Stegostoma tigrinum: one gene and its partner. The protein of the gene in region 1 purifies or fractionates together with the protein of each later gene. This does not show direct contact. Links are inferred from orthologs where the notes say so. Each region holds a gene or a part of one and is shown in the gene's direction. Other genes may lie near its edges. The genes, in order: tmem9b and flvcr1.

Region 1 (17,193 bases):
ATTCAAAATGTTAACTCTGTTTTCTTTCCACAGATGCTGCCAGAACTGCTGAGTTTCTCCAGCAATTTCTGTTCTTGTTTCAGATCTCCAGTATCAGTAGTTCTGTTTTATTATGAAAGATAAACTGTTTTCCTTCAGGTTTAAATTGGCTTAATACACAGAACAGAGAGAGAGAGGTCTTGGCTGGTAGAGACCCTGGTGGCTTCTTTGTATCTTAATCCCAGACCCAAGCTGTTCAGTTACCTGAAAACCAAACACATGGCTGTTGGCAGGCAGAAGGGTTTTGTCATTGATAACTGGTCACTAGTCCAAAACCAACCAAAGTTCTAATTTTACAGAACACCTTGGCTCTAGTTAATCAGCAAACAATGCTACAGCCCCAGCTGTACGTAGTTCACACTGAGTATCACATTACTCACTTTCAATCCTTGGTTTTTAAAGCAGTTCATTTTTTATTTCAATCCACAATTAGGAAAATACAAGAAAAATCATGGTATGACTCTATGACTCTATGTTCCCTCACATCCTATCTTATCTACAACTAGGTCTGCACAATATGAACTAGCCAAATGATTGAATGAATTGCTTTAACCAGTTTTCACAAGCTCATTGAAGGATTCCTTTTCATTTGCATAGACTATACAGAATTTGCATATGTATAGAAATACAGTGTACATGTGCTTATTTAAGATTACTAACCATTCAAAAGTGTACTTCTCAAGGAAGCCACAGATTTTTGTAATGGAGCACTATGTCAAGGCAATTTAGAACGATCAGAATTGTGTGAATCAGTATTCAATGATCTCAAGAACTCAGCAACCAGTAATTAAGTTCAGTTTTAACATCACATTGGGCAAAATAAATAATATTGCTATGGGATGCCCTCTAGGCTGAGTTCTTGCAAACATCTTTGTTGGATTCCATCAGAAATGTGCCTTCAATACACTGATACTCAACTTCCTATCCTTGCATATTTACAAGGCATAGATTTACTTTAACTGAAGTTATAAATAGATGCAAGAATTTTCTTTCATGTATTAACAGGCTCCATCGCACAATCAATCAAACTAGCTCCCTTTCCTTGATGTCCCAGCAGAGAAATCAGCCAGGGGCTCTTGAGCTTTGCATACCACAAGCCTACTTTTATTGGGCAATAAATGCGTTGGAATTCCTACAGTTCCACATACTACATTATCAGAACCTTCAACTAGGGCCTAAGCCACTTGTTCATCATGCAAGCTTAATGCTGAAATAGGATGCATCAAAGACATCTTGCAGGATGATGCCTATTCTGATCAGATAATTTTTTGTTATACATCCTGTAAACTCACAAATGGTCTAACACTGTCACTTTTGGTCCTAGCATGTGTCCAATCTATCTCCATTTTAGATTAGAAACAGAAACAGAAATTACTGGAAAAACTCAGCAGATCTGGCAGCATCTGTGGACAGAAAGCAGAGTTAACATTTTGAAACTAGTGACCCTTGTTCAGACTCTTTCTAGATTTCATGAAAACCAGTTACTCATAATTGTATAAATAGAGTAACATTTCAGATTCTGTTATATGTCTCAACCTCCAGATCCAGACCTTATCCATAGATTTTAGCAGAGCATATATAGAACATTACAGCACAGTACAGGCCCTTCGGCCCTCAATGTTTTTAGTTTGGCTTTGATATTGTGCAAACTGTCCCATATACAGTTTTCCTTGACTTCCATGGACAGGCCTTACCCATAGTTTTTAATACAGACATATATTTTCAATTTGGCTTGAATACTATGCATAGATAATGTCCTGTTTATGGAAAGCTAAGTATCTATTTCTGTCTTATATTGGGTTTGAAATGCTCCTTCTGTTGTTTTCTTTTGTTTGAGTGGACTTATCCTTTCCCTACCTACCCTCTTTCTTCTTATGTGCAAATAAAATGCCTTGGAATTTTCCTTAATCCTGTTTGCCAAGAATATTTCTTAGCCCCTTATAGCCCTCCTAATCCCTTGCTTATGTTAATGTAGCATTTTTGTTTGATACTTAGAGGCTCAAAGTTGTGATATATGGATTATTAATCTTTAACTGAACCAAGTGATTCAATACTTCGGACTTGCGCTCAAAAGAAAATACCTTGAGATGGGTTAAGATACAGTATTGTGAAATGGCTGCAGAAGCCACTTGACCTACAAGAGTGGCCCAGTTTCAAAATACTTCTGAAATGGATTACCATGAAGCACAAGTGGCCAGTTCTCCTGCAGAATTTCACATGTCATTCAACAACTGACATCTTGTCTGCAGAAACTACCAGACATACAAGGAAAACTACCAAATCCATCAGAATGCAAAAAAGGTCGCTAAAGACTCCCTTGTCAGTTTCATTGATAGTTTTGAAAATGGATTGTTCATACAGACTGTCCCCATTGTATGCCAATAGTCAGCTATCACAAATGTGCCCTTGTAAAAAGCTATGATCATAAACTTGTCTGCTTGCTACAGAGAGCAATAAAATCAAAAAGGTCTGAAATATGGAATCGGAATAGCAGCTGTCCACATTCAGGCACCACGTTTTTTGCAAGATGGATCAAAGAGAAAGAAGAATTAAATACCAAAGGAACTTCAACCATTATAGCAATAGTTCTGGAAAATGATGTTACTAGTTTAAAAGAGATGATCTTTGGAACAACTGCAATTGGGCCATTACATTATTCCAAGCAGCGTCAGAACTTCAAGATTGCCAAATGAACCTCAAAGTGTGTTGTAGGATCTGTTTCACCCTTTTTATAAGTTTATACTTTACTTGAATGAATTTACAATAAAACTAACTCTTTATTTTCATCAACTCAACATCTGTCTGCCTTATTTCTTCATATAACTTTGCATGTGGCCAAAGACATAATGAATTGAAGAAAGTCATATTTTTGAAATTCAAACTCATTAGTAGCCAAACTTAAGAGTGTTCGAGAGGAATTTATTCAATCTTCCAGACTTGGTTGTAACATTAGTTGAGGTAATATCTGCCACAAATGTACTATGGCTCAGCACATGCTAGCAATGATACTGTGGAGAAGGATTTTCTGGAGTTCATGTGCGACAGGTTTTTAGACCAATACTTTGTAGAACCAAACACAGCACAGGCCATTCTAGAATGGGTATGGAGTAACAAGAAAGGATTAATTTTTACAATCATTTTGTGTGGGATCTCTTCGGAAAGACTGATTGCAACATGACAGAATTCCTCATTAAGATGGATAGTGAATAGTTGAATCCAAAACAAGGGGCCTGAATCTAAGTAAAAATAACTACGAGGATGTGAGGTGCGATTCAGCAAGGACGGACTGGAAAATTTTATGAAAAGGGTTAGAATTAGAATCAGCTTTATTGTCACGTGCACTCAAACGAATGCAGTGAAAAGTTTGCAATGTCACCACGTATGCCGGCGCCATCATAGATACAGGATACCTAGGTATAGATACTTAAGTATTTGTTACAGAATTGAAAGAATAATAAGTAAAATCTAGCTCAGGAATACAAAGGTTTTAAAAAGTACTCAAATTACTTGAAGTCCAGCATAAGAATAAAAAGCTTTTTTTTAAAAAGTACTCAAATTATAGTACTTTTCATCAAGTCCGTGCCAGCACCTAGCATCCCGACCATGCCAGCCTTCAAAACTCAAAGCCTCGCTGACAGTCCACAAGGGACTTCCCTCCCTGCGACAGCTTCCAGGCTGTGACCCATCTCCTCGTGATGGCCTCCAGTTTGGGACTCACCTCCTCATGGTGGCCTCTGCTTTGGGAGTCACCCCATTTGATGAAGGATAGACAATGGATAATATTTGAAAGATTTAATTACAACTATTTTACATTCCTGTCTGGTGCAAAAATAAAACAAAAACGGTGGCTCAACTATGGCTTACAAAAGAAATTAGGGATAATATTAGATCCAAAGAGGAAATAGACAAACTTGCAGAAAGCCTGAGAATTGGGAGCAGTTTCTTACAGTTAGAATGGGGAACTAAGAATTGTCAAAAGAAAATGAATACATACACTGCTCCTGTCTTCATCAAACAGGGCTCAGGTAACCACCTGGAAATGTTCGGGAACTAAGGGGCTAGTGAGAGAGTGGTACTAATTAAAGAAAATCAGTATGAGTAAGACAACAATATTAGGGAAATTAATTGAAACAAAGGCTAACAAATCACGAGGTCTGATGATCGACATCCCAAAATACTAAAGGAAGTAGCCCTGAATCTGTTTACAATATATATTACTACCTTGGAAATAAGCAAATGTACAGTAGCTAAATTTGCAGATGGTACAAAAACTGGTGTAAAGGCAAGTTGAGAGAGGGGAACATAACAGCTTCCAGAAAGTTATTGATACGTTAAGTATGCAAAATGTTTGCAAATGGAGTATAATGTGGGAAAAATGTGAAGTTGTTCATTTTGGAGGGGAGAACTAAAGAACAGAGTATTATCTAAATAGAGAAAAACTACAGAAAACTGCAACACAGAGACTTGGGGTACTTGTGCAATAAGGCCAGACGGCCTAATCTTGTTCCTATGAGTGATAATGGGAACTGCAGATGCTGGAGAATCCAAGATAACAAAGTGTGGAGCTGGATATACACAGCAGGCTAAGTAGCATCTCAGGAGCTCAAAAGCTGACGTTTCAGGCCTAGACACTTCATCAGAGAGGGGGATGGGGAGAGGGAACTGGAATAAATAGGGAGAGAGGGTGAGGCGGACCAAAGACGGAGAGAAAAGAAGATAGGTGGAGAGAGTATAGGTGGGGAGGTAGGGAGGGGATAGGTCAGTCCAGGGAAGATGGACAGGTCAAGGAGGTGGGATGAGGTGGAAGGTAGGAAATGGAGGTGCGGCTTGAGGTGGGAGGAAGGGATGGGTGAGAGGAAGAACAGGTTAGGGAAGGAGAGACAGGCTGGGCTGGTTTGGGATGCAGTGGGGGAAGGGGAGATTTTGAAGCTTGTGAAGTCCACATTGATACCATTGGGCTGCAGGGTTCCCAAGCGGAATATGAGTTGCTGTTCTTGCAACCTTTGTGTGGCATCATTGTGGCACTGCAGGAGGCCCATGATGGACATGTCGTCTGAGGAATGGGAGGGGGAGCTGAAATAGCTCGCGACTGAGAGGTGCAGCTGTTTGTTGCGAACCGAGTGGACGTGTTCTGTAAAGCGGCCCCCAAGAATACTAGAATACACTTCCTCCCACCCACCCTCCTGCAAAAATTCCATCCCCTATCCCCAATTCCTCCGCCTCCACCCCAATTGCTCCCAGGATGAGGCATTCCACTCCCGCACATCCCAGATGTCCACGTTCTTCAAGGACCGCTACTTTCCCCCTGCAGTGGTCGAGAACGCCCTTGACCGCGTCTCCTGCATTTCCCACAACACATCCCTCACACCCCGCTCCCGCCACAACCGCCCCCAGAGGATCCCCTTCGTTCTCACATACCACCCCACCAACCTCCAGACACAATGTATCATCCTCCGACACTTCCGCCATCTACAATCTGACTCCAACACCCGAGCTATTTTTCCATCCCCAACCTTGTCTGCCTTCTGGAGAGACCACTCTCTCTGCGACACCCAGATGTTCACCTGCACATCTGCCAATGTGGTATATTGTATCCATTGTATCCGGTGTGGCTTCCTCTACATTGGGGAAACCAAGCGGAGGCTTGGGGACCGCTTTGCAGAACACCTCCGCTCGGTTCGTAACAAACAGCTGCACCTCCCAGTCGTGAGCCATTTCAGCTCCCCCTCCCATTCCTCAGACGACATGTCCATCATGGGCCTCCTGCAGTGCCACAATGATGCCACACAAAGGTTGCTGGAACAGCAACTCATATTCCGCTTGGGAACCCTGCAGCCCGTTGGTATCAATGTGGACTTCACAAGCTTCAAAATCTCCCCTCCCCCCACTGCATCCCAAACCAGCCCAGCCTGTCTCTGCTTCCCTAACCTGTTCTTCCTCTCATCCATCCCTTCCTCCCACCTCAAGCCGCACCTCCATTTCCTACCTTCCACCTCATCCTGCCTCATTGACCTGTCCATCTTCCCTGGACTGACCTATCCCCTCCCTACCTCCTCACCTATACTCTCCTCTCCACCTATCTTGTTTTCTCTCCATCTTCGGTCCGCCTCCCCCCTCTCCCTATTTATTCCAGTTCCCTCTCCCCATCCCCCTCTCTGAAGGGTCTCGGCCCGAAACGTCAGCTTTTGTGCTCCTGAGATGCTGCTTGGCCTGCTGTGTTCATCCAGCTACACACTTTGTAATCTTGTTCTTAATTGTTAAGGTCGTATGGAAATATTAGATGTAATGATAGTCATCTTCCAAAATTCTAGAGACGCTGGAGCAGATTTTAGAGACTGAAGAATGGTAAACGTAACCTTTCTTTTAAAAAGGAGTGAAAAAGAGAGAATTACAGACCACTTGTCTTACAGCAGCCGTGGGAAAACACCAAGAGTCCATTATTAAAGACATGATAACAGAGCATTTGGAACGCATTAATGGGATTAGACAATGCAAGCATGGGTTTATGAAAGGCAAATCATGCCTAAAAAAATCTACTGGAGTTTTTTGACAATGTAACTAATAGAATAGAAAAGGGAAAACCAGGGTATGTGTATTTGGATTTTCAGAGGTTTTTGATAAATTTCCTTATAAGAGGTTAGTGAGCAAAATTAAAGCATATGAGATTGGGGGTAATATTGGGAGCATGGGCTGAGAATTGGTTGACACAGGACACAGAGTGGCAATAAATTGGTCTTTTCTACATGGTCGGCAGTGACTACTGGGGTACGACAAAGATGAGTAATTGGGCATCAGCTATTCATAACATATATGAATGACCTGGTTGAAAGAACCACATGCAATATTTCCAAGTTTGCTGATGACACAAACTGGGTGGAATTGAGATAATAGGAACTGCAGATGCTGGAGAATCCAAGACAACAAGGTGGGGAGCTGGATGAACACAGCAGGCCAGGCAGCATCTTAGGAGCAGGAAAGCTGACATTTCAGGCCCAGATCCTTCATCAGAAAATCTGAAGGGTTTAGGCCCGAAATGTCAGCTTTCCTGCTCCTAAGATGCTGCTTGGCCTGCTGTGTTATCCAGCTCCACACCATGTTATTGTAGAATTGAGAGTTTTGACAATGCAGCAAAGAGGCTACATGGTGATTTAGACAAGTTGAGTGAATGGGTAAACATGTGGCATATTTGTACAACATGGGTAAATGTGAAGTCATACACTTTGGTGTGAAAAATAGAAAGGCAAAGTATTATTTACACTGTAATATATTGGTAAAAGTGGATGCACAAAGGGATCTGAGTGTCCTTGTACCGAGTCATTGGAAGGAGACAGGCAGGTGCAAAAGCAATTAGAAAGGCAAATGATATATTGGCTTTCATTGCAAGAGCATTTAAATTACAAAGTAAGGATGCCTTACTGCATTTGTACAGGACCTTGGTGAGACTACACCTGGAGTATTTTGTGCAGCTTTGATCTCTCAACCTAAGAAAGGATACCCTTATCATTGAAGGGAGTGCAGCAAACATTAACTAGGCTGAAACTGGGGATGGCAAGACTGTTGTATGATGGGAAACCGGTTTGACTGAGCCTGCATTCACCAGAGTTTGGAAGATCTGATTGAAAAGTATAAAATTCTAACAGACCTGGGCAGACTAGATGCAGTCAGATTATTTTCCCTGATAGGAAGTGTGAACCAGGGATCACAGTCTTGGGACACGCAGTAGACTGTTTAGGATTGAAATAAGGAAAAAAATTTCTTTGCTCACAAGGTTGTGAATCTGGAACTTTTTAACCATGGAAGGCTGAGGAGGCCAAGTCAATATATTCAAGAACGTTCTTTTTTTACATAAGAGACATTAAAAGCATTTAATGAGAAAGTGGGAACGTAGACTGAGATAGATGCTCAGCATGATTGTAATGAATGGCAGGGTAGGTTCAAAAACTTCAATGCTCCTGGTTTCTATATGGTTGCATGTTTATAAGACCAAGAACCATGTGGATGGAACCAGCTCCAGGAAGAATCTCAAAGCTAACAAATTTCAAGGTGTGCCTTTTTAATGAAATCTTAATCATTGTTTCAACTTCTCAGGTACATGCTGCAAGTTGGTTTGACATTTAACAAAATTATATATTGAACGAAATAACCTCCTTAGCAATGTTTATTGTTCCTAACTCATGCTGAATCATGCATATCTCATACCAGTTAAATTATTTCACAGCTGACATGTGAATGTTACTGCTTGTTTACACTTGTTTTGCTCTACCACCCTTTAATAAAGGAACATAATTTTGGAAATTGTTTTGCATACACATATGAATTGACAATAATTAACAAGGTGAGCTACACATTATGGGAAATCTGCAACATTCGGTACATTTATTTCAACTGCTGCACCTATTTTGGTTGATGTTTTGAAATCCATATGTCTCTTTCGGTTTTCACAGTGTTTGCTAGCCTTTATGCTGTAGCACTGTACTCTGTATTGTCCATAGTTAACACAAACTGGCCCACATTTTTTGGACTTGTACGTAGCAAACCACTAATTTGGAATGCTATAATCAACCTTGGATTTTTGACTGAATTTGACACATGTTAAAAGTAAACATACACAGTATATTTTAAGGAATTTGTAATAGGTCTCATTGCAAACTTTCATTCATTGCTGTTTGGAGAATCTCAACATTAACTAAATTGTAAAAGGTTTAATAATGAGACGCCGGTAGTAGGGCCGTGTACACCATTTATTATTTAGATATTGATAAACGATATAAATGAAAATAGGCTTCAGCGATAGTAGGAACTGCACATGCTGGAGAATCTGAGATGACAAGGTGTAGAGTTGGATGAACACAGCAGGCCAAGCAGCATCAGAGGTGCAGGAAGGCTGACATTTCGGGTCTGGACCTTTCTTCAGAAATGCAATTCTGAAGAAGGATCTAGGCCCGAAACATCAGCTTTCCTGCTCCTCTGATGCTGCTTGGCCTACTGTGTTCATCCAACTCTACACCTTGTTATCCCTATAAATGAAAATAGGCTCCGATTGCTGAAAACTTATGCGGCGCTGACTCTAATAACAATGCGAACATAAACTGGTGTAAACTAAAACAGCGAAAACTCATTCTTCCTTTTGTCTCACCTTTAACAATAAAGAAGAGATAAAAATAAAAAAATAGGCAGTACATGTTCTTGAAGACAAAATGCTGTCCGGTCTTCCCTCCTCAGACACACCGACGGACTAGGCCTCAGGCATTGATCTCGTACTCGCCAGTCGGTTACCAGGGAAACGCTGTCTCCAGGAGAGGGAGCCCCGACAACGAGGAAGGGAGCGCTGGGTGGTGAGATGGCGGGCGCTTGTGGCTGTAGTATTGTTCTGTCCCTCTGGTTGCTGCTGTGTCTGCTTGTGCTGGCGAGGAGCGAGGAGAACAAGGTACGAAGGAATGAGTGAGGAAGCTGACCGCTGATGGATGTACCAGCGGCGCTGAACCGGGAAAATAGTCCTCTGCTGCTAAACGGAGGGTCGGTGGCCTCAGGCCCAAGTCATCAAGGGTTCATACACAGTGTGAACGGGTGATGAGTGGAGGCGGAACCCACACGTTTGGTCACTAACGGTGCTAGTCTGTGTAATTTACCATACTGCTCTGTCTTACTGACAGCTTTGTTTTGCTTTGCTTTCTAAATGCGATCCACCCTAAATACAGCTTCCTTTGAACATTTTGCAGGCTGGGTCACTCATCTGACCAGTAATGTCACTGTTGACAACTCTCCAAATTGATCTCTTTTAAATTTATTTCTACTCTTAATCATTTTAAAAAGTAAAGAGGCCTCATTCAAAGGTATAAATTCTAAGTAGATATTGATCTTTAAGAATCAAATAAAATCATACGTTTGTGGAACTGTTTGTTGGAAAATGATATCCGCTGGCACAGTTGTGGATTTCGGCGTTGCATTAATAGTCCCGTAGATTTTAGGAAGTGACGTCCAAATTCAGCAGCAGGAAATCACAAATGGTGATCTGTGACTTGTTTATGAATTTTATAGCTGAGATGATAACTTTTACGAGTTTATTTGATGGAGTGTTGAAAACTTACTCTGTATAGTTTACAGTTGCATTTTAATATCCTCATTGTGTTAACCGCTACTTCCTGGTGAATTAGCATCTTTAAGACAATCCTTTTTTTAATTCTATCTGCCTGTTTTAAAGCTGGGTATTTAAGCGACCCAAATGTAGGAAATGTAAATATAATTGATTTGGCTGCTCTTTAATTTTGGATGGGAACCTAACAGTAAAACGTGTTCAACTGGAAAGTAGTTAATTTCACTAAAATGACTGGGATTAAGCCTGATTTAATTGTCTAGGAATAAAAAAAGCAGAGTATTGATGAAATATATTTTACCTATATTCTGCCTAAAATTTAAGTGGGGTGCATCCAACGCTGGAGTTCTGTGAGAAAGTGTAATCTTTGTGAGTTGATAAATAGAAAATTAATATAGAAAAACTGCCAGTGTAAAGGCAGAGCAACACTGGAGAAGAGACAGTATGGAAGAAGTCTACCATGTCAGGTAAGAAGAGATTTCCCAAGTAATTAATGAAAACATGGGAAAAAAATCACTTCGTTACCAAGACATATTTTAATATGCAGTTCTAGTGTCCCTACCTATGAGCCTGGAGAGCCAGGTTCAAGTCCTACCTGCTCCAGAGGTGGAGTTCCAGAATTCCAGTCTGCTCAACGTCTCTGAGCAGGTTGATTAGAAAGTATCTACAACCCTGTTTTCTGGATTCAGACAAGTGTTCTGAATTTCTAACTGCTGAAAGACTAAGTTACACCTGGAATGAAACATGAAATAAATGTTTTGTATTAAAATGAAAAAAATGGAAGAACTGTTCCTGTTTATCCAACAGTTTAAAATAAAAAGTGATGTAGTTGACACTTGTTAAAGCTTGTTCTCTCAAGCAGTCCAGTATTTCTTTAAAAAAACCCACAAACTGAAAAATGTTTTAGCATTCTGATTTGTGATTTATTTTTGATGAGTAAACAAACAAGATTTAAGAATTAAAGATTCTTTTTTTAAAGTGGATTTGATTACCCAAATAGTGTACATCCCATCTACTCTAGGATTTTAAGCAATTGAAAAAAAAATTATATTTTCATCTTTACACCACAGAACCCTTGTTATGAAAAGCCTTTTAAAACTTGTTGAAGAAGTGAAGAAAGTATTTTGAATGTCATATCGATCTTTACATACAAAACTATACAAAAATATAAACAACCTGAATTGTTCATTTCAATATCAAGTTCCTATTGAGCTACATAGAATATTGCTGTGTACAACAAACGCTTGAAGATTTGTTTAGAAATTGATTTGAAATGAATCTGCCCTTAATTTCATACTGCGCATTAATTTCATTAAAATTTTATTACCATTTCCTGCACTGCCTTGAAACAAGATTGAATACATTTAAAAATCAATTCTTGCAGGTATTACATTTGATAATTCTAATAGTGCAATGGTACTGCAAGGCATATAACTTGCCACTGAAAATTGATTCGTTGCTGTTATTAACGCTTCAACGCCCACACTCAAATCTTTTCACCTTGATTCCATGATTGGATGGTTGCAGACTGATACGATATACTTGCTTCCACAGAGGTCTTGTACTTGCCCAAGCTATCTGATGATGATGTAATTGACATGCCATGTCCAAGATATTCATCTGAGGTGTCATGAATTTTCGTATGCTTCATTCTTTTCGGAGAACAGTGTACAGTGCTTTCTCAGAAATTTAACATTATGGAACCCAATGGGATTCCTGTTCTTCCAGATCATTCATGCAGCTCTAAAGCTTTTCCACTGTGATGTGAGTTGGAGGAGGATACCCAAATGGCAATGTTACCACTAAATAGCAAAAAAAGTCAACACTTTTTTAAAATGAGGAACGAGGATAGTCTGAGCATGTAATCCTGTTGAACCCTACCAATGTTGCAGATATGGTGCCGGTCAAGCAGGCTGCTTTGTTCTGGATTATGTTCTTAAGCTTCTTAAATATTAGAGCAAGTGGAGAATATTCCATCACACAGCTTACTTGTGCCTTAGAGATGATGGACAGACATTTGGGAAAGTGTTATTTGCTACAATATTCATAGCCTCTCACCTGCTCTTGTAGCCATGCATTTATATGGGTAGTCAAGTTCAGTTTCTGGTCAGTGGTAATCTTCACGTTGTTGATAATGGGGATTCAGCAATGGTAATGACATTGAATATTCAGGGATGATAGTTGAATTCCCTCTTCTTGGAGGTGGTTGTTGTCTGGTATTTGTTGCATGAATGGTACTTGCCATTTGTTAGCCCAAATTTGCATATTGTCCCAGGTCTTGCTGCATGAGGACATGGACTGCATCATTATCTGAGAAGATAGGAATGCACTTTTTCACAAAGAGGGTGGTTCGTGTGTGGAATGAACTGCTGGAGGAAGTGGTAGATGCAAGCACAGTTACAGCATTTAAAAGACATTTGGACAGATATGTGAATAGGAAAAGTTTTGAGGGAAGTAAGCCAAATGCAGGCAAGTGGGTTTACTTTAGTTTGGTAAACTTAGTTTCGGCATGGATGAGTTGGACAGAAAGGTCTGTTTCTGTACTGTATGATTCTGTTTATCGTGGGGAGTCGGTGATATTAATGCCACTGAACGTCAAGAGGTGCTGATCAGATCTCTCGCTGGAGATGGTCATTGGTTGGCACTTGTGCGGTAAGAATGTTACTTGCCATTTATCAGCCCAAGCTGAATATTTTTCAGATTGTCATGGACAGCTTAACTATCTGAAGAGTCATGATGAAGATAAACAAGCACAGTAATATTTTTCCTTTCACTTCCTAGTTTGTAATTTATCTAGCTAATTTCCGATTTGCTTTATTAGTGTTAGCTTTTGGTTCAATGATAAATTTTTAAATTCCTAATTGCAATTAATTTTAAAGACTTGACCGATCAATTATTAATAATTATTTTGCACTTGTTTAGATAGGCACCAAGCAGCTTTATTTTCTTCATGAGAGATAGTAGGAACTGCCGATGCTGGAGTCTGAGGTAACAAGGTATGGAGCAGGATGAACACAGCAGGCCAGGCAGCATTAGGGGAGCAGGAAAGCTGACGTTCCAGATCTGGACCCTTCTTCAGAATTGAGGGATAGGAAGGGAGCTCTGAAATAAATAGAGAAAGGGGGAGGTAATGATAGAAGGTGGATAGTAGAGCAGATAGGTGGAGAGAAGACAGACAGGTCAAAGAGGCAGGGATGAAGCCAGTACAGGTGAGTGTAGATAGAGAGTTGGGATGGGGATTGGTCAGTGAGGAGGGAGGGATGGGTAAGCGGGAGGGAAGACAAACAGGTCAAGGAGTTGGGGATGAGGCTATTTGGTAGGATGTCGGAGGTGGGAGGAGTGGATAGGTGGGAGAAAAGACAGACAGGTTAAGGAGGCAGGGATGAGAGGGGGCGCTGGTCTAGGGATGAGGTCGGGGGTGGGGAGATTTTGAAGCTTGTAAAATCCACATTGAGACCATTGGGCTGCAGGGTTCCCAGGTGGAATATGAGGTGCTGTTCTTCCAGCCTTCGGGTGGCATCGTTGTGGCACTGGAGGAGGCCCAGGATGGACATGTCATCCAAGCAGATGAGGCAAAGAAATTGGGTAAAGAGGAGAGCATTTTTGCAGGAAGGTGAGTGAGAGGAGGTGTATTCCAGGTAGTTGTGGGAGTCAGTGGGCTTGAAATAGATATCAGTTTCCAGTCGGTTACCAGAGATGGAGACAGAGAGGTCCAGGAAGGGGAGAGAGGTATCAGAGATGGTCCAGGTGAACTTGAGGTTGGGGTGGAAGGTGTTAGTAAAGTGGATGAGCTGTTCGAGCTCCTCGTAGGAGCACAAGGCAACGCCGGCACAGTTATCGATGTAACGGAGGAAGAGGTGGGGGATAGTGCCAGTGTAGCTGCAGAAGAGGGACTGTTCCACGTATCCTACAAAGAGGCAGGCAAATCTTGGGGCCATGCGGGTACCCATGGCCACCCCTTCATCTGTAGGATGTGGGAGGAGTTGAAGGAGATGTCGTTAAGAGTAAGGACAAGTTCGGTTAGGCAGATAAGGGTGTTGGTAGAGGGGGACTGGTGGGCCTGCGGGAGAGGAAGAAGCGGAGAGCTTTTATGCCTGGGGAATGCAGGTGTAAAGGGACTGGACATCCATGGTGAAGATGAGGTGTTGAGGGCCAGGGAATCGGAGGTTTTGGAGGAGGTGGAGGCTATGGGTGGTGTCAAGGACGTAGGTGGGGAGTTCCTGGACCCCGGGGGGAGAAAATGGAGTTGAGATAAGTGGAGATAGGTTTGGTGGGGCAGGAGCAGGCAGAGACAATTCCCAATTCCTTTGCTTCTGCTGCATCTGCTCCCAAGATGAGGCGTTCCACTCCCAGACATCCCGGATGTCCTCGTTTTTCAAGCACCGCAATTTCCCCTCCACAGTGGTCGAAAACGCCCTCATCCACATCTCGTGTGTCTCTCACAGCTCAGCCCTCACACCCCTTCCCTGCAATAACAAGACAGAATTCCCCTTGTTGTCACATATCACCCCCATCAACATCTGGATTCACCACATCATTTTCCACCACCTGCAATCTGACCCCACTACCAAGGATATATTTCCATCTCCACCCTTATCTGCCTTCCAGAGGGACCGCGCTCTCTGTGACTCCCTCGACCACTCCACACTCCCCACTAGTGAACCATCCCTGGCACTTTTCCCTGCAACCGCAGGACGTGCAACACCTGCCCCTATACCAACCCCTCACCTCCATCCCTAGCCCCAAGAAAACCTTCCACACCTAAACAGATGTTCACTTGCACACCTGCTGATGTGGTATATTGTATCCGCTGTTCCTGATGTGGCCTCCTCTACGTCAGGGAAACCAAGCAGAGGCTTGGAGACCGCTTTGTGGAGCACCTGTGCCCAGTTCGTGACAAACAACCACACCTCCCAGTCGCGAACCACTTCAACTCCCCCTCCCACTCCTTAAATGACACGTCCATCCGGGGCCGCCTCCAGTGTCATGATGATGCATGAAGGCTGGAGGAACCGCGCCTCATATTCCACCTGGGAACCCTGCAGCCCAATGGTCTCAACGTGGACTTTACCAGCTTCAAAATCTCCCCACCCCCGACCTCATCCCAAGACCAGCACTGCCTCTTGGCCCTGCCTCCTGTCTGTCTTTTCTCCCACCTATCCACTCCTCCCACTTGACTGACCAATCTCCATCCCAACTCTCTACCTACACTCACCTGTACTAGCTTCAGCCCTGCCTCCTTGACCTGTCTGTCTTCTCTCCACCTTTCTGCTCTACTATCCACCTTCTATCATCGCCTCCCCCTCTCCCTATTTATTTCAGAGCCCCCTTCCCCTCCCCCATTTCTGAAGATGGGTCCAGACCCGAAACGTCAGCTTTCCTGCTCCTCTGATGCTGCCTGGCGACCTGTGTTCATCCAGTTCCACACCTTGTTATCTCTTTATTTTCCTCATGCCTTTCTGCATTGTGCAACAGGTATAGAGCTGATAATGATTGAAAAAAAACAGAATGTTTCGGAAAATGTTGCTGTCTGTAGTTTTTTTCCCCTTGTCTCATTGGTGCCTCAGAATCTGAGGAGTTTAACAATTTACTGGGAATTTATTACTGAGGTTGTAAGAATATAATTAAGTGATCTGATTGCATAGCACCCTTTTCTGAACAGACAGACGGTATTGTGTATGGCATGCATTAACTTCAGATTGAATTCCAAATTGGTTGTTTGCACCCTGTGTTTATCCAGTCTGTCCACCTGAAATAGGCATTTGACTCATTGACTCTTCTGTCTTTGAAGTTGAAATTCATCTTTTGCTTCTCTCATTCTATCTCAAATCACTTCATTTGTAGCTGAATTCTATTCAGCTTGAACTGTGTTCTACTCGAGGTAGACACCTTTTCTTACAATTTCAGACATGGTGTTCTTACTTGAAATATATTTGCTTTCTTAGTCATAGCTTTTAGTTCTACGTCCAATTTTTTTTACTAATAGCATGGCCTCAGAAAATGTTTGCAAGTCATTCGGATAAATCTTCGCTTTCCAGAAAAATCATAGCAACTAAGAGCCATTTTGATTTTCAATATGTATCGTAGAATTCACCATGGAAATCATGAATCAGCCTCAATGTCAGTAAGTCACAGTATTCATATTTGTTTGTGGATTTTAAATTCTATAAGAATTCCCAAATTAGGTAATGATCCCAGACTCGGCCTCCAAATTGTGTTACAATTCAAGGTGAGCCCCCAAATTATGTTATGATCTCAGACCTGATTACAGACTTTATGATCTAAGACAGATACCCAAATTATGTTGTTACAGTCTGGTCAGAGACCTTTTATGTTTAAAGGGAGATGCAAGTTGAGATACTAGGAACTTTTTAAGAGAATAGACCCACATCGTCTGAACAACCAACAATACATTTAGTATTCAAGTTAGAACAATAATGTAACCTACAGTACCTCTGAAACTCACTTAAATTTATTTATTTAGCTCAGAATTAACATGGGTAATGTACTGAAATTGAACACCTCAACATGCATAAATTAGAAAATATGGTGGTCAGTAAAGAAACTCAGCAACTCCCCCAGATGTCAATGATACAGAAGGTATTTCGGTAAACTTCACAAGAGATTAGAATTCCTCACTTGCCAATCTGGCCTTGAAACTCTGTCTCAAACCAATCAGTCAAAGGTAGCCTCAACAACTCCTGTTCTGACTGATTACATTCCTTTCCTGGGTCTATGCTCCCTCAGAGTCCACAGACTACACTTCAGTACCTATTCAAAGTCACAACTCCAACATTTTGCTGACTGCTTACTTAACCAAATTAGATATATGTCCTACTGTGTTAACCAGGCTGCACTGCAACGTCTACTTATAGGCGCGACCGTTTTCTGAGCTATAATCTTGCTGGGGTGTATGAAACAAATACTGCTGCGGTTTTTCAACTCCCACTCTTGGTCATATTATCAGTGGCACCCTGCTTTTTCTATGCCATCTCAATTTCCAGTCTTTTCTTTTGCCCTAACTGTAGCACAACTGTATAATAACTCCTAGAATGCAGCCT
Region 2 (16,946 bases), on another chromosome or scaffold:
ATGGCGCTTGAAAATGGGAGCACAGTGGTCAAATATGCCTGCCGTTTGGTTATTAATTTCACATATTCAACCCTCTTTATCAAGATGACAACTGGTACACTTCCCTTTATAATCTCAAATGTTATTTTCTAGCAATAGGAAAACATATTGTCTCTAAGGAAATAGATGCTGCACAATCCAAGTTTTTTCCAAACTGTTAATAATAATAATTTTTGCTTATCAAATCAATGTTCTGTATTGGTTACTACAAAACAGTGTTCAGAATTTAAACTTTTGGTTCATAAATGGAATCATATTTTGCAGATAATCACTGTTCAGTGGAATGCAGAGGGAAGCAGCTCACAGCCCACACCCAGCACATGTAGAAGATAAATTTCAAAGACACATCCAGAACACCCAGTAAGCTCAGGATGTGAAATCAGTTTGAACAAACAATTGACGCCTTCTGGAACAGTACCAGCTGCCATCTGGATTTAGTGACAATCTAGCAAATCTTCCCTGTACTGCACTCAATGAAAGCATATCCTTTCTTTAATATGGAGACAAAAACTGCATAAATGGGATTGTGCTGTTACCAAAGTCCATTACAATTATAGCAAGGCTTCCTTATTCTTGCATTCCAATTCCTTGTAATACAGGCTAATAATTGATTTATCTTCCCAGTTGATTGTTATATCTGCAAGTTAAATTTTTCCTTGTGAGTGTATCTCTGACTTCAACCTTTTTAAAAATACTTCACTTTTCTGTTCTTATTACAAAAGTGAATAGCCTCACACTTACTCACATTTTACTCCATCTGCCACCTTAGTGTCCATTCATCTAACCTCTCTATATCTCTTCGCAGGCTCCTAGCATTTGCCTCACAGCTTACATTCTTACCTAAAGTGACACTGTGATGAGTTCAAACTCAGATGATATGAAATTCTGGTTATGTTGAAGTCGTCAACCACTTCCACATGAGAATAACAAATCCCATAGACTAATGCCTATGATAGACTGAAATTCTGCAATGTTTCTCCAGATTAGGTGAACTTGTTTAAACCTGTCATATAACCATGCTGGCCAAATATAACTGAGTTACAACACAAGAGCACAAAAGGCTTGGAAGCCACTCATGTAATTGCTCTGTTTTAATGCTTATTTTAGATGACCACTTAATTGAAAAATGAAGATATTATTATGAATACCTACAAATCATGGTAATCATAGATTGATATTGACAACTTTTACAATACAACTGGAATGCCTACCAGTACATTAAAAAGTCTTTGCGTCTCTCCAGAAATTCCCTCTTGGACAATGGCTCATCACATGCAAAATCTACCTTCAGTTAAGCAAAAATTACAATGTCTTCTTGACTCAAATGTGGACTCCCCATTACCATCCTTTACTGCTGCTGCTCACCTGTGATGTGTGAATGAGCAGGTGAGACCCAACAACCTACCTTGTTGGTCTCATTGAAATATCAGCAAATGTTTGATCTACACAAGTGTTGTAATTAACAAAAGGGCCTGACCACTTATCCTCCTGGACCATCTTCAATGGGGTGCTTTAATGTCCTGTACAAGTTTAAAGACAAAGTAGACCATCAAGATAAAAGCATGTGAACATTAACATCAATATGATTCACTGGTTGCTAACAGCAAACCAGTATGATCGAGTATTGTATGTCATGTGGCTATCCAATATTTAATTCATCACGGAGACCACTAATTCTACATGGCAAAGCATGCTACGATTCCACCGATGTCCAATGCTACCTCCTCTGCAGCTGTCAGTTGAAAGATGCGAGAAAACCTACTCTAGTTCTATGCCACCCACATTATTTGTGTTTTTCTCACTATTAATGGAAAAAAAACTTAAGAGTGAAAGAATGATACAATTCTACTGCTGATATGTAGTATTTGTTGAAGATCACTATGAGGAAGATGCATGGCATCACAATAACAGATCTTAGTGATGGATAGAGAGATGGGGAGAACACACGTAGGTAGAAAAGAATGAGCACATCTACAAGGTGTGCTGGTGTCAGGAATGATAATGATGAAGTAGGCTTTAAAGGGCAGAGTTGGGCTGCTCACTGCATTGGGATGTAGGTGAATGTGGAACTACACTCATCTTTCTTGTTTGCTTCTGTCTTAAAAACTGCTTCAGCATTAAATTCATAAGCATGGCACAAAGCTTCTGTTATTGACCTCATGAGTAAACTCTGGGTATCCACCTTTCAAATGCAAAAGAAAATGCAGGTGCTGGAAATCTCAAATAAAATGAAAATGCATGAAGTACTCAGCAATTTTGGGAGTATCTGTGGAGTTGCCAGTTTAAGGGCAATCTTACATCGAAAATTTGGGTTATTCAATTAAAGCAAGCATGGATTTCTTAAAAGAAGAGGATGAGGGTGGGAGGTGGGGCAGGTCAGGAATAAATAATTGGTGGAGATGAAATCCAGTTGGACAGACAAAAGAATGGATAAAAGTGAGCTTGGGAGAATCAATAGCTGCTAGTGGAGGACATTAGTGGCTTTTTGTGATAGTAGCTCATGTGATGACAAGTCCTAGTGTGTAGGGATTGGGGTAAGGGAGAAGTTGCTCAGACCTTAAAATTATTGAATTTGATATTGAGGCCTGAAGACTGTCGGGTCCTAAGCAGAAAATGAGGTTGCTGTTCTTCTAGCTTGCGCTGAGCTTCACTGGAGCAGGGCAGAAGCCTGAGAGAGAGAGAGAGAGAGAGAGAGAGAGAGAGAGAGAGAGATGCTGGCCAAGGAACATTGTGGTGTGTTGAAGTGGCAGGCAACAGGAAGCTCAGGGTAATTTTTGTGAATAGAACATAGGTGTCCTGCAAAGCAGTCAACCACTCTGTTTTTTCTCCCCACTGTAGAGCAGACCACTTTGTGAGCAACAAATACAGTAGACTAGATGAGTTGAACAGAGACTTGAGTAGATGTGCACAAATCTTTGAAAGTAGAAGGCAAGTTGAGAAATATTATAAAAGGTGTACTGGATTTTTAACTTTATAATTAGGAGTATGTGTACTTAAAACAATAAAATTATGCTAAAACTTTATACAGAGGAGATTTACTCGATTGGTAAACAATCACACATTTGACCCAACAACCCCACACAACCCAAGTGCCCACCCATCCAATGACTTAAATAAACCCAATGCCCACTTGATCTTCAGTTATGTTGAGAGACCAAGGAAGGTTAGGGAGAGAATTGACAGGCATTCAAAATCATGAATGGATACTTAGCAAGAAAATGTTAAGCAGGTTAATACCTGATTTAATACCATGATTAGTCAACGTTACAGATTTGAACATCACAACTGACCATACTCAATCACCTCCTCTATCCTGACCTAACAAACCATACACCCTCTCCCACTCCCAGCAATCCAAGTCCAACAATCCAACCACCTCACCAACATGACTGCTTTATTTACCTAGATTAGAAAGTGTGGAGCTGGATAAACACAGCAGGCCAAGATGCTGCTTGGCCTGCTGTGTTCATCCAGCTGCACACTTTGTTATCTCGGATTCTCCAGCATGTGCTGTTCCCATTATCTCTGCTTTATTTACCTAATTACCCACCCAACCTGAACACACACCTAGCACAACTATCCAACCCGAGTACATACCAGCCAACTACCCACCCAACCTGACAACCCACCTGACTCAACCAATCAGACACTCGACCTGATTATTCCCTCAACCCAAATGCCCAATCGATCTACAAAATCCTCCTGACCTGACTGCCTCTGATCATCTGAACTACCTCCTCAACTCACTACCCCTTAACCAGCATAGATTTGACTCAATTGCCAACTCCACAATCCATCTATTCACTCTCTCATCCATTTATTAAAAGAATTGAAGCTTTTACCAATATACCTGAATATGGCAGTGAACTACCTAAAAAAGTATGTCTTCTTTTGTCATCAACTCTTCTGTACTTACTGGACCAGGAAAACTGCTTCAGCACGGATTAGAGGTTCTGTTCGAAAATTTGTAATTTCATCAAGGTGCAGCAAACTTTGTAGGTGGCAGTGGACTGGAAAATCTGGGTCATTGTTAATCGATGATAAAAGGCAAAAATGGAATGAAAACATTTGGAAAGCAATTAAATAGGACTCTTTTTACAATTGCAAATAACAGTATATTTTAGTTTGACAGTTTAACTTCAATCCGCCTTTTGTTACCCTCCTCCGTGGATAAGTGAATGCATTTGAGTATGTCATAAACAGTTTAGAAAATAGGAGTACTTACTTCTTTACTCACTTGGCAGAAGTGAAGGAGGCAGAAATAACTGCACAAAGGCTGGCATCCCATCACTAAATTACTCTTTCTTTACATGTGGAAAGTCCTTGACACTGATTTAGCTTCCCTAGAACCGGCTCTCGATATCTGGATGTCCAACACACCAGTTATTTTCTGATTGGACCAGATTAACAGCCCCAGTCAGGGAACTCATATTCTATGGATCCAGCTAGCTGACCTTGTTACAATCATTATACCCTTTGCCTTCTCAATCTGAGGATATAGGCCAGTTCATTTTCTTGTAGGTACTCCTGGGACACTAACCCTTGGTCAGGTTCCTCCGATTCTGACATGGGTACGGGCAGTGTGTAACACACAATAGTTACCTCTTGCATCCCGAGTGTCTCAGAAGAAATTCATCTTCTTCTTCAGGTGGCAACATCTACCATGTCCATCTCAGGTTCGAAGGTCTCTTCAACATTTGTCAGAGGGTGAGAAACCAGGGTTTCTGCCAGCTTTTCTTATTATTCTGACAAGATGGGTATGTTTTGGTCCTGCACTGTTTGCGTGTTTGCAGCTTTCATACGGTTCATGTGCTTGTTCAAAACTGTTTCACCTCCCCAGACCTTGTACGCTACTGGACCTGAACTCACGTTGACCACTTCTCTTACCATGCAGGAACATTCCCATGGTTCCTGCATAAAAGTACGTCCCTTATCACCCATGGTTAGTGGAGTCTTGTGTCTGGCATTGATGTTCCTGATGCCATTTCACTAACACCCCCCACCCACATTCAGAAAGATCAGATTTAACCTGATGTGGAGTCTTCATTTCATTAGCAACTCTGTTGGAGTTGCAATAAGGATGGTCCCATAATCAAATAGGAACCAGGACAGTTTGGTATCTAGTGAAGCTGTAGGCTGTTTCTTTAAGTCTGCCTTTAAAGTTTGGACTGCTCTTTCTGCCAGACCATTGGACGATGGATGCTATGAAGCTGTCCTTATATGTTGAATGTCATTTGACTATAGGAAACACTCAAATTCCCTGCTGGCAAAAATGGGTCATTTTCAATGGTTAACACTTCCAGGAGTCTGTATATTGCAAAAGGTGCATGCAGGTTTTGTATCGTCATCGCCTTGTTTGACAAATGAACTCTATGCATGTCCAATCACTTTGAGTGGGCACCTATGAGACATGAGCTCCAGTACAGACGTCGGAGCCAGGGCGCCTTTTAACACCCTCTGTTTATCTTCCAATGGGTGTGATCCAGTTTTGTCAACTCTAGCCCAAGTAGTTCACTTGAGATGCCTGGAACACAAATTTTCCCTTCTAAAGCATATGCCTGCCTGGGAGAAATGTCTAAGAACTGTGCCCAAGTTCTCTCAGTGCCCCTTAGAGTCGATAAATTACAACCTAGGGGAGACCTTGCAAATTGTTTCCATTGTCTGCTCAAAAATTGTACAGGCTGATGATAACCCAAATGGCAGTCTTGTATCAGAGATAATGGGAACTGCAGATGCTGGAGAATCCAAGATAACAAAGTGTGAAGCTGGATGAACACAGCAGGCCAAGCAGCATCTCAGGAGCACAAAAGCTGATGTTTCGGGCCTAGACCCTTCATCAGAGAGGGGGATGGGGAGAGGGTTCTGCCTCCCCCTCTCTCCCTGTTTATTCCAGACTGTCCCCGCCAGCTTTTCAAAGCGAATTTTGTTAAAGGCTGGTTCTGTGATTACTGAAACAGCCGTTACAGTACGAAATGCTATGGAAGCACTTGGAATGACTTGATCGCCTGGATCCTGAAGAAAATTTTAATCCTTTGGCTGAGGTTTGGCTTTGTTTTGGGGTTTTGCTGTGGGCTGACCTAAGTCCCTCTGTTCAGGATACATCCTGAGTTAGGTTATGCAATTGCCTTCACTCAAGTGGCATTCCCCAAGTTCAGTTGACCGGCTAGGGTGTCCACTTTTATTGGAATACCCTGCAACTCATATGCTCCTCTTGCCACATTTCCAATGTTGGAGCCACTTGTACTGCCTGTCTGAAGTTGCTTTAGTTAGCAGCCACTTTTGCATGGTTACAAAATTAATCCCACCTAACAAATGGCCATTCAGCATTCATTAGGGGTTAAACCAAAGTCACAAACCAAGTCTCCTATTCATTTCCATGGTTCCTTATAGCCACTAAACTAATACAGTTCCAAATCATGCTAACTCATATGCCCTACGACACTTATGGACCCATGTAGCCTCAATACCAACTTAGTAAAAACCCACACCCCCTCATCCACCTCCATGGCTCCTTACGTCTCCTAACAAAGGTAGTGCCAACTCAAGCCAACCCATCCCCCTGGTTCTTAATAGCCCATATGCCAACCTAGGAATCCAACATATTGGGATGAAATCAAATAAAGTTCAAAATATGGAGTACTTACTTCACCATGTAAAAAAATTTGCATCAATGGAAGACTGTCCAATGCATTTAATTCCCACCAACTTTCTAAATTGTTACAAAAAACCCAAACATTTGTATGTGTAACCCAAATCAAAGAAAGCTAATCCTTTAACTATTTCTTTTAGCTGTCAAAGCTGTAAATGTATAACTTTTCATTATTAAAATGGAGGTTTGTGAAAAGCAGTCAAGCATTGTTAATATTACTCTGATGGCACTTAGGACTATGTCAACAAACTGCTGAAGAAATGTTAGAACAGTATATTTGTACACTTGCCAGGCAGTTTCATTTGCATTTTTAAAGGGCTGAGGTTTGAACTCAGTGTCGTGTCTAAAAGCTCTGCTGAGTTCTGGATTGCCCCAGATATGAGTCATGTACCATCCTCTTTTTTCATTTCGTGGCAAAAATGATTTTAGCTGAATATGGAGTTTGGATTTCTGGATGTGAGATCCATCCACCATGTTAGATAGATATTCCTGCTATAATACGTTTCGTTAAAGTGAATTGGCTTTAGTACAATTAAGGAATAGTGAATGCTGTTTGGATAACATGAACTTTCTATTACACAGTATAGAGATTTCCTAATAGCGAATTCTCTTTAACGCGATTTTTTATGGTGATTTTCTACAGCCTAAGACCGCACAAGAATGCAACTATCATGTTACAGGACAACTACCTGTAGGCTACAGAGCTTCCATGAAGGGTTCAGTAAAGATTTACAAGGATGTTGACAGGATTGGAGAGTTTAGGCTAAAGGGAGAGGCTGAACTGAGTTTTTTTTTGCCCTGGAACTTTGCTGAGGGGTGACTTTACAGAGGTTTATAAAATCATGTGGGGCATAGATAGGATGAATGGCTAAGGTCTTTCTCCCAGGGTAGGGGAGTCCAAGGCTGCAGGTTTATGAGGAAAGGGGAAAGATTTAAAAGGGGCCTGAGGGGAACTTTTTCACACCGAGGGTCGTGTGTTAATGGAACGAGCTACCAGAGCAGGTGGTATAGGTCAGTACAATGACAACATTTAAAAGACATCTGGATGGGTTAATGAATAGGAAGGGTTTTGAGGGATATGGGCTAAATGCTGGCAAATGGGACTAGATCAGTTTAGGGTACCAGGTTGGCGCAGGTGCGTTGGAATAAAGGTCTGTTTCTGTGCTGTATAACTCTGACTCCAAAAAATCAAAGCTGTGAAGGAACATCTCTTTCATAGGTCTGTGAATTCTTGGCATTCTCGTCTCTTCGAAACACTCAGCTGATGATTATATTTAATATTATCTGTGCAACAGATTTTTGTGCGTAAGGTTTGGGATAGTTCAGCAATGTAAAGTTCATGTAAGTGTTCAGCTATTTTTGTATTAAACAGCAGTGTAGGTTTGACCATACGGGTCTACACACTTATTTCTTATATGCTTATGAAACCAAATACTGCATCTAATATATTGCAATATAGTAGGCTAATAATAGTCATAGGAAGAAAATATGAACATTTAGTCCCTCAATCATCTTGCCAAATAATTAGATCTCAATTTACAAATTCTGGTCATTTTCACTTCATGAGCAATCTATGTTGATTATTGATTTTCAATTTATCTGATCTCAAAGCTAAGAGAATGTGTTCCAGATTTCCAAAAAGAAGTGCTTCCTAACTTCGCCTAGATCTAATTGGACTATTTCAACTGAGGAACAATTTTCTATTTAGCCAACAAATCTTTTAATCACCTTAAACCTAATTTAGATCATCTTTTAATCTTCAATAGGCAAGGGAGCATGAGCCTAGATTTTACTGTCTTCATAATTTAACTCTTTCAGTGATTCTGGTGAATATGTGCTGTACCTCCTGCCCTTTCTCTCCAACACCCCTGTCCACTGTATTATCCTTCCTGAAACATCGTGCCTAAATTTATGTAGTGCAATCTAATGCTCTTGACATACGTAACTGACGTTTCTTTGCACTTCAGCCTCTTGGATACATTACACTGCCCATTATAGCTTTAGTGAGCTCTGTATATAGATTTCTGAATTTTTTTTGCTCTTCCACAAGTCCTGGGTTCTTACTGTTTAGCTTCCCTAGGTCTTTCATTGATAACCTTATATTTCCCCAGTGAATTCAGTTTTGTTTGTGCAGTTATTCAGGTCATGCCCCTTTGTAACTTTGTTTCCATTAATACTACTTGTTGTGCTATCCAGTGTAGAGTGTGTCATCAAACATGTGTACATGGCTCTTTATTCTGCTGTCCTTGTTGCAGAATTTTATTGAACCTGGTAGCAAGATGTATAGTTTAATTCAACAAAAGCAAAATATTGCAGATGCTGGAAATTTGAAACAGAGAAAAGTCATGCCAGACTTGGAGTGTTAATTCTATTTCTCTTCACGGACGCTGCCAGGCTTGTTGAGTTTATCCAACATTCTCTGTTTGGGTAGTTTTATTATTTGCTCAGAGTAAAAGGTAACAAGAAATAAGTGCAGTTTACTCCTAAAAGAGATCTACAGCATTGCAAAAACAGCGTGAGAAATTTCCTATTGAACTGGCATCATATCTAAACTGAATACTTATTGACTACCAGATCATTCCTCAGTGTGCCATTTTTAGCCATAAGACCTCGCATTAAAATCATGTTCCAGACTTTGTTCAACATTCGGCTTGCAATAAAAGCACAGGTATTTTGAATTTTAGTTATGCTTACATGATATATCTCAAACAAATGGTGGTTATTAATCATTTTTGCTATTGAGGGAGTCAAGGGGATATGAAATCACATGACAATAACAGCCATTTTGTGAAAATAGATGTCGACAGTTTGAAAAAGGCAAAACAAAAGACATTTAAAACATTTAAACGTGTCAATGTGGAACATGTCATGATAATTTTAACACACGCTGTTTATGGGGTATTTAAAATCCTGTGTAAGATATCTCGAAGTTTTTTCCCCAAACTAACCGTAGCGGAACAATGATGTCACATCAGCAGATTTTTCAATTGGCTTAACTGAAAGCCAAGACACGAGTTCCATTGTGCTTCTTATTTTTTCAGATCGGATTAAACTGAAGTTTTATTGAATTTTAATTCTCTAATTAGCAAGTGGATTTGTTCTTTGTCCTTGCTAATATTTTGATATTCTCAAAAAAATAAATTTTCTGTAGCGAAGATTGCGCATTTTCCACATCGATACGATGTCCGGTAGCCCATTGGTCGAATAGGTGTCAATCATCTTACGGTCCCGCCTTACCACTATATGCGATTGGTCGATTCCGTCACCGATATCGAGATCCGGTTGGTCAAGGAACGCCTTATTTGCATTGCCCTTCCTATTGTGGTAGACTATTGGTTATGTTCCACGTCAATCATGCGTGCCTCCCTGATACGAACCCCTACTGGACCAAAGCGACGTCAATTATCACCCCGCCTTCGTGGAATGCGTGAGGCGGCTTCATAAACCACTGCATCTCGGAGCTGCTCTCATTCGCTTAGGAAACATCTTCAATTAGGAATAATACGTGCTCCTATTTGCGAATTACAATCTTACTTTTTTCGAAGAAAATCGAACGTGTAACATATAAAAATATATTTTAGTTTTTCAGTGGGTTATAAAAACCATATATTTTGTGTATTAACAAAATAAAACAAAAGCTAACAATGGTGGATGCCGATGGAACTGTGTGCCCTGTCACAAAGGCAATTCCTACCGCCTGCGCTAGAGAAGTGGTTATAAACGGTCTTTCTGGCCATATAGATGGTGTTATGCAGGACGGAAAATGCATGAAAGGTGCTAGGTCCCCTGAGGAGAGGGAGGCTATGCTGACCGGCGATGTGAAGCCGATCCAGACACGCGTTTACTGGAACCGGTTCGTCATTCTGATCGTGTTCAGCCTGTACTCCATGGTGAACGCCTTTCAGTGGATCCAGTACAGCATTATCGCCAACATCTTCTGTTATTTTTACCAAGTCTCCTACGAGCAGATCGACTGGCTCTCGGTGGTCTATATGCTCGTCTACGTCCCCCTCATCTTCCCCGCCGCCTGGCTGCTCGATAAGAAAGGCTTGCGGACTGTGGCGCTACTGGGCTCCGGCCTCAACTGCATCGGAGCCTGGATTAAGATCGCCAGCGTGAGGCAGGACCTGTTCGGAGTGACCATGTTCGCCCAGACGGTCTGCTCCATCGCTCAGATTTTTATCCTTGGCCTGCCCTCTAGGGTAGCATCAGTATGGTTCGGGCCCAAGGAGGTGTCGACAGCGTGTGCTACCGCCGTCCTGGGCAATCAGGTAAGGAGCATCAAGTGTGGGGGTGGGGATCTGAAATTAGGCGGGGTGGGCTTGGGAATTTCCCCCGCTCCTGGACTCCAGAGGGGCGTGAGCGGGTGGGCGGACGAGCGGCAGCCGCTCCGTCTCCTTCGTCCTTTTCCCGCCGCTGCACCAATGTGTCCTGCACGTCGTGGCGTTGGGGCCGCTGGGCACGTTTCCGCTCCCTTTTCGTGCTCCGTTCCTTTACCACCCCGGGGGTTACCGTGTGTTGCAGAAACCGTGCTGCAGCCGAGCCGGCTATTGTTTGCGTTTCTTCTTCCTCCCCGTCCTGTAACCCGATCGTGGTTCAAGACCGACCAACTTGAATCCCCATCGAACAGTCCAACACGTAGATGTGGAGCTCCCGTTAATCGCCCGATTTATTCTCTTCCTCTCCCCCCACCCCCGAGGAAATTGGCGGCCTTGAGTTTATTTTTATTCGCAAATATTTGAACTTGTCTTTATCTTAGATTCCGCTGCGTTCTTTTTCGGCTAGGATGCCGGCTTATCCGACAGCGCTAGTTATAGGTAATTTATGAATTAAGCATATTTTTGCATTTTAAAATGCATATTTACTCCCTTCCGAGCTGGGACACGTTGCTCAGTCAAACGCATGCTTTACTTCATTTTATGTGGATTTCATCACGTAGTGATTCAGGCAGGAAACCTTCAAAAAATGGCAGTTATAGTTAAGAACTTGGCAGAAGAAAATGGTGTCCTGTCTTGCATGCACTTATACGTTTGTAACTGATATCTCATTCCATCGTTCGTTACACTTGACAAAGAAGTCACTGAAGACATCGGCAATGTTGCACAAGACAGCCCCTTTTTATCTTTTTTCTGAAAGCAAACTATCATTGTGGTGAACTGCAGCCTAACTCTTTGGCATCAAGGCAGTCTGAAATTGGCAGCTTTTGTGGCACACGTTGTGTATCCTTTCCATTTGGAAGAGTGGCTCCTGAAACTCTGGTCTTAATTTATTCAAGCCAGTTTGTTCAGTGAAAATTCTGCCCTGTTTCAATTGTTGATGATTTAAGTCTGCGTATTAACACTTGACTTGACCTTTTTTAATTTTTCATTGATTATTTCCAGATCTCCTCCTCTTATCTATACTTTGAGATTATGGCGTGGATTGGTTGACGTTATTTTTGAATGGGTAGCGAATTGGCAGAAGCTACCCCCCACCCCTTGCCATTGGGCAGTGGTAGCTTTGTCATCCTGCACTGCCCTCTATTTAGTGTTCTTGATAATGGAGACCATTTCAGTTCAGGCCTTTTATTTCCTGACTACCCCACACCTCACTTCTTACCCCCCAATATTACTTTTGGTATCTGGGGGTTTAATGTGTCACTAAGTATTTGGTGTCTGCTATTCATTTGAGCTGCCATTTTTGTTACTATATGTGTATGCTTTAACATGTCTTCTATTTTCTCTTAAATACTTTGAAAAATAAAAACTCTCTATGAAAGGACAATTCCAGAACATTTCTGTGCAGTTTTGCCGAACGTAAATACCCTTTTAAAACAAAAAAAAAGTCCTCAAGGAAAGGCAACAAGGATTTCCATCATTTTTCCAGCTGATACAGATGTTGATCAGGTCTTGGATTGAAGGAGAAAACGGATTCAGACGATTTGAGTTTTCTGATTACTTCAGGCGGGACTAACAAGTATGCCATTCTGTTTTTAATATTATAGTATCAGAAAAAGGTGAGGCAAACTGTATGAAACTTATGAGCAGACTTTGTGCTGAAGAAAAAACGTTTAGGCCAGGTAGACAAACTGAGTGAGGTAGTAGACATATATCTTCCTAATATTCATGAATTAGAACCTGCACGAGAATTCTAAAATGCAGTACCATCACGACATGCTGGGTATAGAGTGAACATTGGAAACTTCTGACTTGCAAACTTCAGGCATAGAACAAGCATGCCATTGTAATAACATCCATAAACAGCATGTCTCATGACAGTCTATGTAGAGTTCCCAGGAACAAAATAGCATCTTCAGATGATTCCAGTGGTAGTACACAAAGGATCCTTCCCTTTCAGAGGTAAAATCAGATTATTATGCGTTAACCAAAATGGTTTTGCAGTTTCCTGTCATTCTAAATCATGGGACAGTTTTGTAAGGAAGATGGAATCCCAAGACTTCAGAAGATGGTGTACTAAACAACACAGCCAGAGGGCGATAATCACTCCATCCAGACCCTAATGCTGCATAGGTGATGAATGTGATGCTGTCAAGTAATCTATCCAGATCATTGATGATTGAAATGAACGTGCTGAATATACCTAAGCAAGGAATGATAGACACCGGGGTAAGTGCAAGCTTACTCAACAAGCGTGCCTATAACAAATGAGCATTAGAATCTGATGGTGTCCAGCTTCAATTGAATGATACATCTCATGGCTATTGACAAACTGTTTGGAGCCACAGTTTTTGAAACTTGACCTCCTTGCAATACTTTTAAAATTAGCTCCCAAATCCAGGCAGCTGATCTTTTTTACAGAGTTTATGAACAATATAATAATGGAACTTCTTCAGCAGCATTTCAAATGCTATCCACCATACTTTATTTGCATACCTGATATCAGTGCTACATGCAGCTTGAGTGAGGTAAGAAGTCTATTGGGAATAGTTGAATGATTGTGCCAGATTTACACCTGATTTTGCCACAGTCACCCAGCCCATTGCAAGAATTAACAAGCAAAGATTTTAGTTCAAACTGGAAGCTGAATTTTTTTTTCCAGGTATCACAGAGCCAAATAGTGAGATGCACATTAATGACATACCTACTGCTGACAGCATGTTATCATAGAGGCAAATCTAGTCACATTACAAGCTGTTCATTTGTGTCCAAAGATGCCAATAGGCTATGGCTGGTGTGGTAGGTTATTCAGTCATTGATACCTTTTGAACAACGTTTATTTAAAAATAGAATACGAAGTACTGATCAGCACACAGAGCTCCCTAATACTACATAGCATTCAGGAACTTAACTGATAACTGGTCCCTGTCACTAGGTTTCAGCATGTAAATGTTCAATAGGAATGAGTCACAGTGATCAGAAGAGGATCTATTCAATTGTTTCAGTATCCTGGGCATGAGCTCTCTGAATTTAATTGTTGTGTGCCTCGCATTGCCTGTGCATGCATCATAGGGCTACTTGGTTTTTTAGCATTTCTGTTTCAATATTATATGTTTCAGTCATCCACTCCTACTGTATGATGATTTATATATTTGATGTTATAATTATCTTCAATTAAGTACAACAGATGATCTCTTTGTGCATTTATGCAATTGTTTTAACAAAATCTACTTAAATACTCCTTTTATGAGTGCCCTTGCATTTATTTGAGAGTTCTGCACAAGTGAGGTGAGATTGGATTTTCACATATAATGAAGTCTCAGAAGTGACCTCTGGATATCTGCAGAAAATTGAAGACATCCTTCTTTCACATCTATATCAAAACTCAAATAATCAGTAAAAACTAATTTTATTTTTAACTATTCAGTAGTTTGAGACAAAAGGATTTTGGAGTGGGGATTCAATACTAGGATTGGGTGTGCATTTGTCACTAGTCAAACTGCAATCCAATTGATTTAACACATTTGTTAGCGAGGGTTATTCTTAATTGGGTTACTCCTATCAGTTGACTTTATTCTGAAGATTTGCTTAACTGAGGTAGTGTATTGATACTATATACTTACCGCCACCACCTTGCCCAACTCTACAAAGTCGAGTGTATGTTCACTCCCACTCTTATCACGTCTCATTCTTGTGTGTTAGAAATTAAGCCCCACTATTTGTGGAGTCTTCGTAAAAGTTACAGGTGTTATTAAAGTATGTAAAATTTCCCTGTTTGTTATTTCTTTAGATACAGGTTGACAAAGTGCAGATTACCAATTACAATTAAGTAAACTATAGCTACAAATAAAATGATCCGTTGGCATAAATTCCACTTGTTAAAACTAACCACTCTCTAAACCTCCTCCTTATGAATGCAGCCCATACGCCCACAGAGATGGGGAAAAAGTCCCGGCAGAGGGATAATTTGGAAAAGCAGGTCAGTGGCCCCTGTTCACAGGACCTGCTGAGATGATTCTTGTGCTGATCAAAATGCTGCTTCTCGGTCCTGCTGATCTGCTTTCATTGGCTTGCAGTACATATGGGTGGCTGGTTGACACTTATAAAAGCTCTCTGACTTTATTGAAAATCACAGTGAACAGCACCTGCTGGAGGAAAAGTAAACTGGTTTTCTTACGGTAGCATTGACTGCAGAGAGCTCTTGAGCTTGTAACTTGTCTCTATTTTGTTCGTAGTACCAAGCTGTTCAGCTACTTGAGAACTGATCATAGTTGCCAAACGTAAGACCTTCATCGATAAATGGTGACTATTCCACAGATAATCAGTTGCTTACTGAATCTCCGTTTCTATGCACATGCTTCTGCACCAGCCCATCTGCAAGCTATACTTTAACTATTACTAGAACCAGCAGTGTCACATTATTGCTTCCAAAAACTGCAGTATCCTTAAGACTTTGATTTTTAAAACAGTTCTCATTTTAGTCCACAAACAGGAAATACAGAAAATATAAAGACACAATCTTTACATGCTCAGCTGTTCTCCTGGGTTGATGGGGCTTGCTCACTGACTGAGACTAAGCATGCTATGACATTGGTTTTAATTGGGAACGGGAAATGGGCTGCCTTGAGTAGAGATTTGACTTTGGGAGTATTAGCATTGTTCTTGCTACAGGCCGGATGTCTGGCCTCCTCTGTACAGAGAAAAACTGAGCTCGCATTTCAAGTTCAATGACTCCTCAACAGTACTGGTTGGATTCTGACAAAGGGTTGCTGGACTCCACGGTAACTTCCACAGAGAAAAGCAGAACTTGCTGAGTTTTTTTGAGATGCTTTGTATTTGTTCAGGCCACCTCATGTTATTACTTCCTATATTCTTCACTAAGTACCACCCCCAAGTTGTGCTCAAAATGGAGAAGTATTGAGGTATCAAAGGCTGAAGAGGTACCAAGAGTTTAGGATAATTAATGCCCATGATCAAGAATACCTTGGAAGCAGCACTGCTGACCCAAGTTTTGAAAGTCCTAGCTATTAGACTGGAAATGCAGCAGGTGGTTAGAATACTTTACCACCACCTCATCTGTATCCCTACTGCAGATGCATTTGCCCAGAGAGACCACTGCAGTGACCTTTTGGAAACTATGCTGCATCTGCACAATGAGACATCTTTTGTTGTGTTGTATTGCACTATTGCAAAGTGGGGAAAAATGTAGAATGCAGCTATTTGAAGCTGGACGTCTGAGATTCTGAGGGTAATCAGCAGAAAATCTCTCTTCTGCAGTCTGTAATCTTAGCTAAACATATCACTCAATCTTCCATTCTTATCAAGTCAGGAGGGCAAATGCAGTTCAATGAGGATATGCGAAGATCATGTCATGAGTGGAACCAGGCACACTGTACTCTATTACTGAAGTGCCTTTCTGAAGCACAAGACTGCATACTAAAGAGTCGCCTTAACTCTAAGATCGAATGCAAGAGAAACCATCCTGTCTCTGAACTTGTCAAGACGGAATTAGAGAACCTTTGAACTGCTTCCATTGCATTTACAGCAGTACCCCAGATGTAGCGTAGCCTAGCCAGTGCCTTGTATAACTGAAATGCAGTCTCCTACTGTTCGATTCAATTCTCACAAATGCTAACATCTGATTTTTTTTTCCCCCAATTACTTGCTATACCTGCATAGTACAGTTTTTACAAATCTTGGTCTTAAAATCCAGATCCTTCGAACTTGGAACTCGGTAATCTTCTCGCCATTGAGATAATATGCTGCTTTTTTTATCCTTGCTGCCAAAATGAAAAATTCACAATTTCCCATGTTTTAACTCCGAGTTGCCACATCTCTACCTTCTCTTTATCCTTTCCCCAACTTATTTTCCTCATTATCTT

What was found.
Region 2: the proteins of tmem9b (region 1) and flvcr1 purify together in Homo sapiens (co-immunoprecipitation; 3 studies listed by BioGRID and IntAct, counting the BioPlex papers as one, with this or other methods). This does not show direct contact. The link is inferred for Stegostoma tigrinum from reciprocal best matches to the Homo sapiens genes TMEM9B and FLVCR1.

What each region holds. Positions count from the first base shown.
Region 1 is NC_081370.1:28,110,207-28,127,399, forward strand, and holds the start of tmem9b (transmembrane protein 9B), read left to right. Parts: upstream 1-9,320; 5' UTR 9,321-9,379; coding exon 9,380-9,466; exon of another isoform or gene 9,467-9,991; intron 9,992-17,193. UniProt on the Homo sapiens protein: Enhances production of pro-inflammatory cytokines induced by TNF, IL1B, and TLR ligands. Has a role in TNF activation of both the NF-kappaB and MAPK pathways.
Region 2 is NC_081362.1:55,402,582-55,419,527, forward strand, and holds the start of flvcr1 (feline leukemia virus subgroup C receptor-related protein 1), read left to right. Parts: upstream 1-10,146; 5' UTR 10,147-10,332; coding exon 10,333-10,959; intron 10,960-16,946.